Linked DNA regions of Oryctolagus cuniculus. The protein of the gene in region 2 purifies or fractionates together with the protein of the main gene of each other region. This does not show direct contact. Links are inferred from orthologs where the notes say so. Each region holds a gene or a part of one and is shown on either strand. Other genes may lie near its edges.

What was found. The genes of interacting proteins can lie anywhere in the genome.
Region 1: the proteins of ELAVL1 (region 2) and IGF2BP1 purify together in Homo sapiens (co-immunoprecipitation; 3 studies listed by BioGRID and IntAct, with this or other methods). This does not show direct contact. The link is inferred for Oryctolagus cuniculus from reciprocal best matches to the Homo sapiens genes ELAVL1 and IGF2BP1.

Annotation. Positions count from the first base shown.
Region 1 is NC_091448.1:25,185,137-25,189,221, forward strand, and holds the start of IGF2BP1 (insulin-like growth factor 2 mRNA-binding protein 1), read left to right. Parts: upstream 1-1,284; 5' UTR 1,285-1,671; coding exon 1,672-1,846; intron 1,847-2,936; coding exon 2,937-2,997; intron 2,998-4,085. UniProt on the Homo sapiens protein: RNA-binding factor that recruits target transcripts to cytoplasmic protein-RNA complexes (mRNPs). This transcript 'caging' into mRNPs allows mRNA transport and transient storage.
Region 2 is NW_027208201.1:4,186,153-4,190,269, reverse strand, and holds the start of ELAVL1 (ELAV-like protein 1), read left to right. Parts: upstream 1-1,313; 5' UTR 1,314-1,451; coding exon 1,452-1,603; intron 1,604-3,177; coding exon 3,178-3,279; intron 3,280-4,117. UniProt on the Homo sapiens protein: RNA-binding protein that binds to the 3'-UTR region of mRNAs and increases their stability.

The sequences.
Region 1 (4,085 bases), on a different chromosome or scaffold from region 2:
GCGGAGAGCTGCCCCCTCCCCCACTGCCCAGACGGGGTGCGACCGCCCACGTGTCGCCCCTCGCCCAGCCTAGTCCTTCTCTCGGGCTCCCGAGCCCGCGGATCCGGAACGAGTTGGTCAAAGACGAGGGAAGGGATCTGGGCGGATCCGCTTCCCCCTCCCCAGGAACGGGCGAGCGGGAGGGACCGCCGCCCCCTCCCAGAAGCTCCCGCCCCTCGCTTCCCCCAGCGCGGAGCGGAAATTACCCCCTCCCCCCGCGGGTCTGACCTGGGGACGTGGGCGGGGCTTCGCGCTGGGCCCCCGCCCTCCGCCCCTCTCCCGCCTTCCCGAATCCTGCGCCCCAAACAAAGTTCCGAGACCCAAACCCAGCGCCCGCCGGAGTCGTGGCGGCGTCCCGGGGCAGGGTGCGGGCGCAGGGGACTCCACCTGTCTGCCCCCGCCTTGGGGGGCTGGGGGCCCGCTCGGGTCTCCACCCGATTGCACCCCGCCTGCGCTCCCCTACTCGGTCCGCTTGGGTTAGCCGGAGCTGCCACCCGGTTCCCTCGGTCCTGGGGTCGTCCCAGCCGGAGCTGCGCGGTCCCCCGGGAACCCGAACATTATCATTTAGTGGCTAGTACCCCGACACGGGCCCGCGCTTCTCCAGGGGTGTCCGGAACACTATTTCCTGTGAGCTCCTGCTAACCCGCGGCGATCCCCCGTGTTCGCAGGGCCCCGGGTCCTGGATCCCAAGAGGTGGGGGAGGCTCGCGGGGCTGGGGCGGGGAAGGGAAGACCTCCCCCGCCCCCGCTTCGAAACCTAAGGAAAAGGCGCCTTTCTTTTGAAATCACCGGCTCGTGCGACCCCCTCCTGAAGACCCCAGAGTCCCCGGCTTCTCTTTGTCTGTCTTGGTCGTCCCCCGCCTGTCAGTCGCTAGCAGTTAACCGGGTGGGGTAGGCAATCCCGCGCCCCAAAACCAGTGGAAAAATGACCACACGTTTCGCCCCAAAGACGGGAGATTGGGGGCTCGACCACCCTCCCCCAGTTCAGGCTGGGGTAGAGGCAGGGGGAAGGGTGGGGGCGGGGCGCATCCCCGGGGGCCAGGTTCCTGCCAAGGGGGAGGGGGCGGGCAGAGCCTCGGGAGCGTTGCACACCCACCCCCCGCCGCCGCCGCCCCAGTTCCCTCTGAGCGTGAGCCGAGTGCCCCCTCCCTGCCCCCGGGAGGGAAGCTGTTGGGCCGGGCCGGGTTTTCTGGGCAGTGGGGCCCTGTGGCGTCGGGGGTCTTCCCCTGCAGGGTGGGTGGGGGCTGTCACCACGTGGCTTCGGCCTTTTTTTTTTTTTCCGCTCCATTTTTTTTTCAAGTCGGTTTTATTTAGAGGCGGCGCCAGGGCGGCCGCGGAGAAACGTGACACGCCAGCCCGCTCGCAGGGGTTTCGGAGCGAAGGCGAGGAGCAGCGCCGCGCCGTCCGCCTCCCAGCGCGCCGCGGGCACTTTCCGGGCTCCCCCGAACTCCGCCGCGACCTCCGCGCGCCCTCCTGCCGCCCTCCGCGCCCGGGGCTCCGGGCACACTCCCGGGCGGGGTGCACACAAAGTTTGCGGCCGCCGCCGGCCTCCCCGCGCTCGGCCTAGGCGGCTCGCCGCCCGCCCGCCCGCTCGGCCTCGCCCGGCACCGCGTCCTGCCCCGCCGCCGCCACCATGAACAAGCTATACATCGGCAACCTCAACGAGAGCGTGACCCCCGCGGACTTGGAGAAAGTGTTTGCGGAGCACAAGATCTCCTACAGCGGCCAGTTCCTGGTCAAATCCGGCTACGCCTTCGTGGACTGCCCGGACGAGCATTGGGCGATGAAGGCCATCGAAACTTTCTCGGGTAAGCGCGCGGGCCGCCTCCCCGAGCCCCGGGCCGGTTCCCGTACAACGGAGGCCTGTGTTCCGAACCCCCCCCTTCTCCGCCGCCCCGGCCGCCAACTGCTCGTTCAGCGAGCATGCGGGGCCCGGCCTCGCCGCTGACCCTCGACCTGCCGCCTTCGACGCCCCCGCCCCCTCCCGGGAATATTCGGGATTTCCCCACCCTCGGTGGGCTGCTCGGGCTCCCTTCAATCTCCACTCCCATCGCCGGGGCTGCAGCCCCCCTCGGCGGTGGCGGGGGGTGGGTGGTGGTCCGAGGGCCACGAGACGACCCCGTCTGGGCGCTCGCTGCATGTTCAGCCCCTCCCTAGCAGCCGCCAGACGGCCCCCCAGCTGGAGCACCCTCGCTCCCTTCCTAACCCTAGGCCTTCCCGGGCGCGGAAGGGGTCCCCGCCCGATCCCCGAGCTCCCCGCCGTCCGTGGGGATCACAGCCCTCGGGCAAGACTGGGGAGGAAGGGGATCCCGCCTCCCGCCCAGGGCCCGGGGCTTGAGCCATTTTGATTTGAAAGTGGGGCGTGAGCGGTGGCGCGGCGGCGCGGGTCGCCATGCTGCTAACCGAGACGCCGAGGCTGGGCCGAGAGGCGCGCGGCGCGGGACCCTCCCCGCCAGGCCCCGCGCGGCTCCCCCGGGGCCTCGGCGTTGCAACCCGCCCGACAGGTGACCGCCCTGCCGCCCGAAGCCCTTGTCCTACGCGCCACAGTAAAATAAAGTTTGATTCTGCACCCCCCCTCCCCGAGCAGCGGGAAGTCCTTTCTCTGCTGGCTGCGGCTCCGCACATCTGGGAGCCGAACGGGTAGAGCGCCCGCACAGATCACCTCGAACCTTTCCCGGTTCGGGTTCTCCTAGCGATTCACGCCACCAGCTCCGTGGTGACGCAAAGCAGAAATTAAGAGAACATAATAACGAATTGATGGCATCCGGCTGCGGGCGCCACTGACTTGCTTCCGAGGAGAAATCGGGTCCCAGGAACTTGAATTTCCCGAGAGCCCCCTGCCTCAACACCCCTGCCCCTGTTCACGCGCTCACGCTAATTTTTTTTTTTAATCTTTAGGAAAAGTAGAATTACAAGGAAAACGCTTAGAAATTGAACATTCGGTTCCCAAAAAACAAAGGTAGGAAAGAGCGCTTCTCTTCTCTGGGGGGGCGGGGGGAAGGGGACAGAGGTTGGCGAGAGGCCGTGGTCGGGGGTCCACAGCGTCCCCGGGGGCTGAGACCTGGCGTTGGCTTCTCATCCCTCGACTCGGGATGTTGGGGGCTGGGAGGCAAGACTGGAGATCTTGTCATGGGTGGTTTACAGCTTGGAAAAGCAGGAGAAGTTGGGGATGGGGTGGGCAAACAGGCGGTACCTGCAGACTCACAGGGGAGAGAATCAAGCAGAGGGAAGCACCTCGTGGGGCTTGCCTCAAGTGTGGGGCCATTTTGGTGCGGAAGCTTAAAATCTTAGTTCAGGCTTCCTGCAGGCCCCATTTTCCGTCAGGCAGGGTGGTTCGGAAGTGGACTTAGGGGATCCCTTTCTACTCCACTCTGGTGGAGACACAGGTCTGCCCCGCGCACCACCACCCCCCCCCCCCGCCCCGCAGAATTCCCTTACCCTTTATTTATATTTCTGCAACAGGCAGAGACTTCCTACAGACTGCCGCCCCCAGTTCCTCCCACCCCCTCCCCACCCCCACCCCCACTGGCTTTCCCTGAGAATATGCTTTGGCCCTCCTGTCCTGTGGCGGCCCCCACCCCGGCTCCTGCAGCCCATTGTTACCAGGGGGCCATCTGGGGTGAGAGCTTTGTGTTAGGGCTGTGAGCTGGGGCTCTTTGGAGGATCTAGAACTCCGTGGATGAATGGTGTGTGTGTGTGCGCGCGCGCGGGCTTGCGCGCACCCGTACTCCTTATCCTTGGGCCAAACAGGGTGCTTTCTGAGAATTCATGGCGGATTTCGCATCTTTCATTGAACTCTGAAATCTCGAGTTGAGCTCTGGCTAAGGAAGTGTAAGCACAGCCTTCTCTAGTTTCCCAAGCGTGGTGACAGTACCGAGTCTTCTGCTGTTGCCGGCTGGGTTGGCAGTGGCCCCCTGGAAGGCTTCCATCCCCCTTCCCCCTTCGGAAGCAGTTCTTTTTCTAAGTGGGAAGGGGGTGTGTTTGGGGGTGGCTTTGCTTTTAGAGGGGTGGTTAAGAGGATCTCCAAAGTTTAACCAGAGATAGAAA
Region 2 (4,117 bases):
TGACTTGCATACAGGGGGTATCTCAAAACAAGAGGTGGGAAAGTGGAATTGAGAGGTAAGTTTATTTTGGCGCGAAATGTCTTGAAATCCATGCATGGTTTTCTCATAGCATGCATTTTTGTCCACTCACTGCCCCTACAGGGACTGGCACACACAGCAGGTGCTCAGTACAACTTAAGTGAAGAAACGTGAGGCCCTAACAGCCAGCCCTGCTGGAGCACTTCACCACTTCCCTTGTCCCGCCTCCCCACCGTGCAAGATCAGGAAACTGAGGCCTGGCGAGGTGACGTCAGCCCCTGGCCAACGGCAGCAGTGGGCAACGTCCGGGCCGGGATTCGAACCCGGGTCTTCTCCCCACAGCCAAGGCCCGCCGACCCTTCCTACCTTGCTGGGCGGCAGCTGCAGCGAGGCAGACAGGTGTGAGGCACAAGGCAAGTGCTCGACAAGGAACGCCGCTCCTCGCCCACCACCTCGAGTCGGCCTCCTGGGCTAGGCCCCTACTCGCCCCCTTCGCGGCCATCGCTGGCCACCCGCGTCTCCGCCGGCCTCTGAGCCTTCGCAGGCGGCGCCTACCGGAAGTCCCGCCTCCTCCGCGCGCCCCGGAGCGCAGCGACAGCCAAGCCTGCCAATGAGCGGCGCGCCGTGGCGGACGCAGACCAATAGGCGCGCGCGCCGGGGGGGCGTGTCCGGGCCGCGGGCCGGAGCGGGTCGTGCGCGCTGAGGAGGAGCCGCCGCCGTCGCCGTCGCTGCCGCCGCCGCCACCGCTACCGAGGCCGAGCGGAGCCGTTAGCGCCTCGCCGCAGCCGCCGCCCGCACGTCCCGGAGCAGCCCCGGGCCCGCCCGCCCGCGACCAGGTGAAGCAGGGGGGCTTTTGGAGGCGCCCGGCAGGGTAGGCCGCGGCAGGCCTGCGCTCGCTTGGCCTGGCCTGGCCGCGGGCGCCCGCGGGCCTGCACCGGTCGAGGCCCAGGCCGCGCCGGGGCCTGGAGGGGACGCGCGCGGGCCGCGCCGGGCGGGGCGGGCGGGGGCTGGCCAATGTGGGCGCCGGCGGCAGGCCCCGGGCCGGATTCCTGGGGCGCCGCGAGGGGAACGCGGCGTGGGCACGCGCCTGGGGGCCGGGCTCCGCGGCCGCGGCTCCGGTAGCCTTGGAAGCCCGGGATCCGGGGGCGGGGGAGTGAGGAGAACGCTTTGAGCGCGCAGAGGTCACGGCCCACCGGCTCGCTCCCCTGGGAAATCCCACAGATTCTTTTGTGGCCGTTGTCAGAGGACCGGCGGCCGGCCCGCGGCCCTTTTATAAGTGTGCAAACCCCTTGATCTGCAGGGGAGCCCTTGAGGCGGAAAAAACGTATTTTTTTTGAGCGCCATCTCTTAACAAAGCTGTTCGTGGGGCGTGGGACGTTTGTTTTTGTAAAATGTGTGTGTGTTTAGAACACGAAACTGCACGCAGTTGAACAATGGATGGATGCTCGTCCCTCCTTTTCCGGTGCCCGCTGTGGCGAGGCTTATTAAAACGGTCTTTGATACCTACTGTGTGCCCGGCAGGTGGAGAGGAACTTGGGCACGGCCGTCCCTGGAGGGACAGAGCCGCCGCCGCATCTCCCGCTGAGTGAGTCCTCACGTGGGATTTGGACGGCCAGTGTTCCAGAAATGGGGATGGGATTGACTCCGCAGCGTCCGCACTCGGGATGGTTGGGGTCAGGTCTTGGTTGGCCGGGGCTGCTCTGTGCGTTGTGGGGAGTTGAGAGCATCCCTGGCTTTTACCCTTTAGCGACCCCGCCTCTCCCCTCCCCCAGCGCAAGCATCCAAAATGTCTCCAGACATTGCCAGATGCCTTCCCCCCCAGGGGGTGGGGTCTCTCTTGCTGTCTCACTAAAGTGTCTGATCTTCCAGGAAAAGTTCCTCCAGCCCTCTCTCTGATCCTTTGAGAGGTGTTCCCAAGACCTTGAGATGAACTGTGTTGGGCTTTAGCTACAGAATAGTGAGGAAGGCGGTATGGTGCTGGCCCCCCTAGCGTTGTGCGTGGCCTGGCGCCTGGCAGGAGTCAGCGCCAGGGTTTATTGAGAACTGACTGTGCTTGACTCCAGCCCTCCAGGTAGGTGCTGTTGTAATTTCCATTTTAGAGATGCAGAAACCGAGGTTCAGCTGCGTGGCCTGATGTGCTCTTCTGCTAATGTGGCCAAGGTGGGGTTTGAATTCAGGCTCTCAGACTCAATCTTAACCACAGGGGCCCAGCAGGTGGTGTTTCTGGGGATTCCATTCAGCTGTCATCGAACCGCCACAGGCCAAGCTCTGGCCTGATACCTGCTTTAAAACTACCATTTTGAGGTCCATGGAGAGACTGAGAAGCCTAACATCTCTAAGTGTGCAAGGAAATTGTGTTGAGGTTGAAGCACTGGTTTTGAGGGAGCAGAGTTTTACTTTAGCTGTGTTGAGTCTGAGGCCATAGCGCAGCAAGGGGAAAATGAGCCGGTTAAGAAATTCCTGGCTTCTGCTGCTTGCTTCGCGGCTGTTCTTGCTCCCTGCTGCCATGTCTAGCAAAGTTGGCTTTCCACACTCCCTTGCCAACTGTCTTCTGTCAGGGCAGGTCCGGCAGTGCCACTCCTGATTGCAAATTTTTGACCTGAAAAACAAATTTTCTTGGCCTCTTCAGGTGACTTAAAGGATAAAAATCAGGGCTCCTTAGGCTTGGCTGCCTGTTCTTTCACACTCAGCCCTCCCTCCCTTCCTGACATCATTGTACCAGTGCCCCAGAGTCCAGGCCTCCCTGCTGTCGCGCTCTCTGCCTGGGAGATGCCACTGTCTTCCAGCTAAGGATCACTTCCTTGTGCTCCATGCCCCAGCTCAGAGCCCACTCCCCGTTCCTTCGCCCCGCACCGGCATCAACTTGCCCTTCCCATTCAATTTATGGAATTCACCGCTGAATGGTGAGAGAAGCGCAGTGCCCTCCTTCCGCCCCTAGGTGGCAGGCCTGAAACGGCAGGCCCGACAGGAGGCTGTGGGTCAGAAGACAAGGAAACCAGCGGGTAGAGGGGAAGTGAGTCTTGTTTCTCTCCTTTGAATAACTTTCCCTGTGCCACTGCGTCCTGGGCCCTGTGCTAGGCTCTGGGGAGATGATGATGTACACTGTGTGTGTGTGTGTGTGGATCATCTCAGCTCACTAGCCAATGCTGTGACAATTAGGCTCTGGCTGACACAGAGGCCACAGAAGAGGGAGCTGTTAACCCAAGCCGAGGTGGGCACAGACAGCCCAGACTGCCTGCTGGAGGAGATGAAGAGAGAGAGGTGAGGAGGAGTTAGCCAGGGGGAGGGGCTTGGGCATGGATGGGGCCTGTCTCAGCTTGTCCAGGTACACATAGGGTCTGGGACTTTAGGGCAGGAAGGGTGAAGGGAGCCGTGGCGGGGCTACTGCTGCCACTTGCGGGCAGAGGGTTTGGCTGCCACCCTCTGTGGCAGGCCTGGGACACTACTGAGCAGTGTTGGTCACAGAGGGAGTCATTCTGCACACAGAGAGCTTTGTCCCGCCCAGAAAAAGCTGGAGGTGGGCAGAGCTCAACGTCAGAAAACCAATTAGGGGACAGTTGGTTTCCTTTAGAGCATGGGTGAGGGACCTTTTTTTCCCCCCACAAAGGTCCATTTAGATGTTTATAATATTCACAAGCAATACAAAGTTATCAACTTAAAAATTAGCCTGCTATAGACTATTGGATTTCAAGTCCCACCTGTGGTTGCCTTGGCAGGGTCAGATCAAATGGTTTCACAGGCCTTATACAGCCCTTGGGCTAGACATTGCCCACCCTTGCTTTAGGTCCAGAAAGCTGGTGATGTGATCCAGGGCTGCAGTGCTGAGACAGAGAGGGGACACTGGGGGGAAGGACACAGGGCTCATGGGTTTGGAGGTGTGGAACATGAGGGAGAGAAGACTGGCTGACTCTGGGTCTGAGTGTGACCCTGGAAGCGAGTCAGTCACTGAGAGAAGCCAGAAAGCCCCAGAAGGAGCACTTCAGTATGTGAGTGGGCAAGCAAGCATATCATTAGCAGGGAAGGGGCCACAGGTAGTAGCTGCGTCTGCACTGCAGGGCCGTTCACGCCCATGCTCGCCTGTCGTCCTCCACCCAGCACC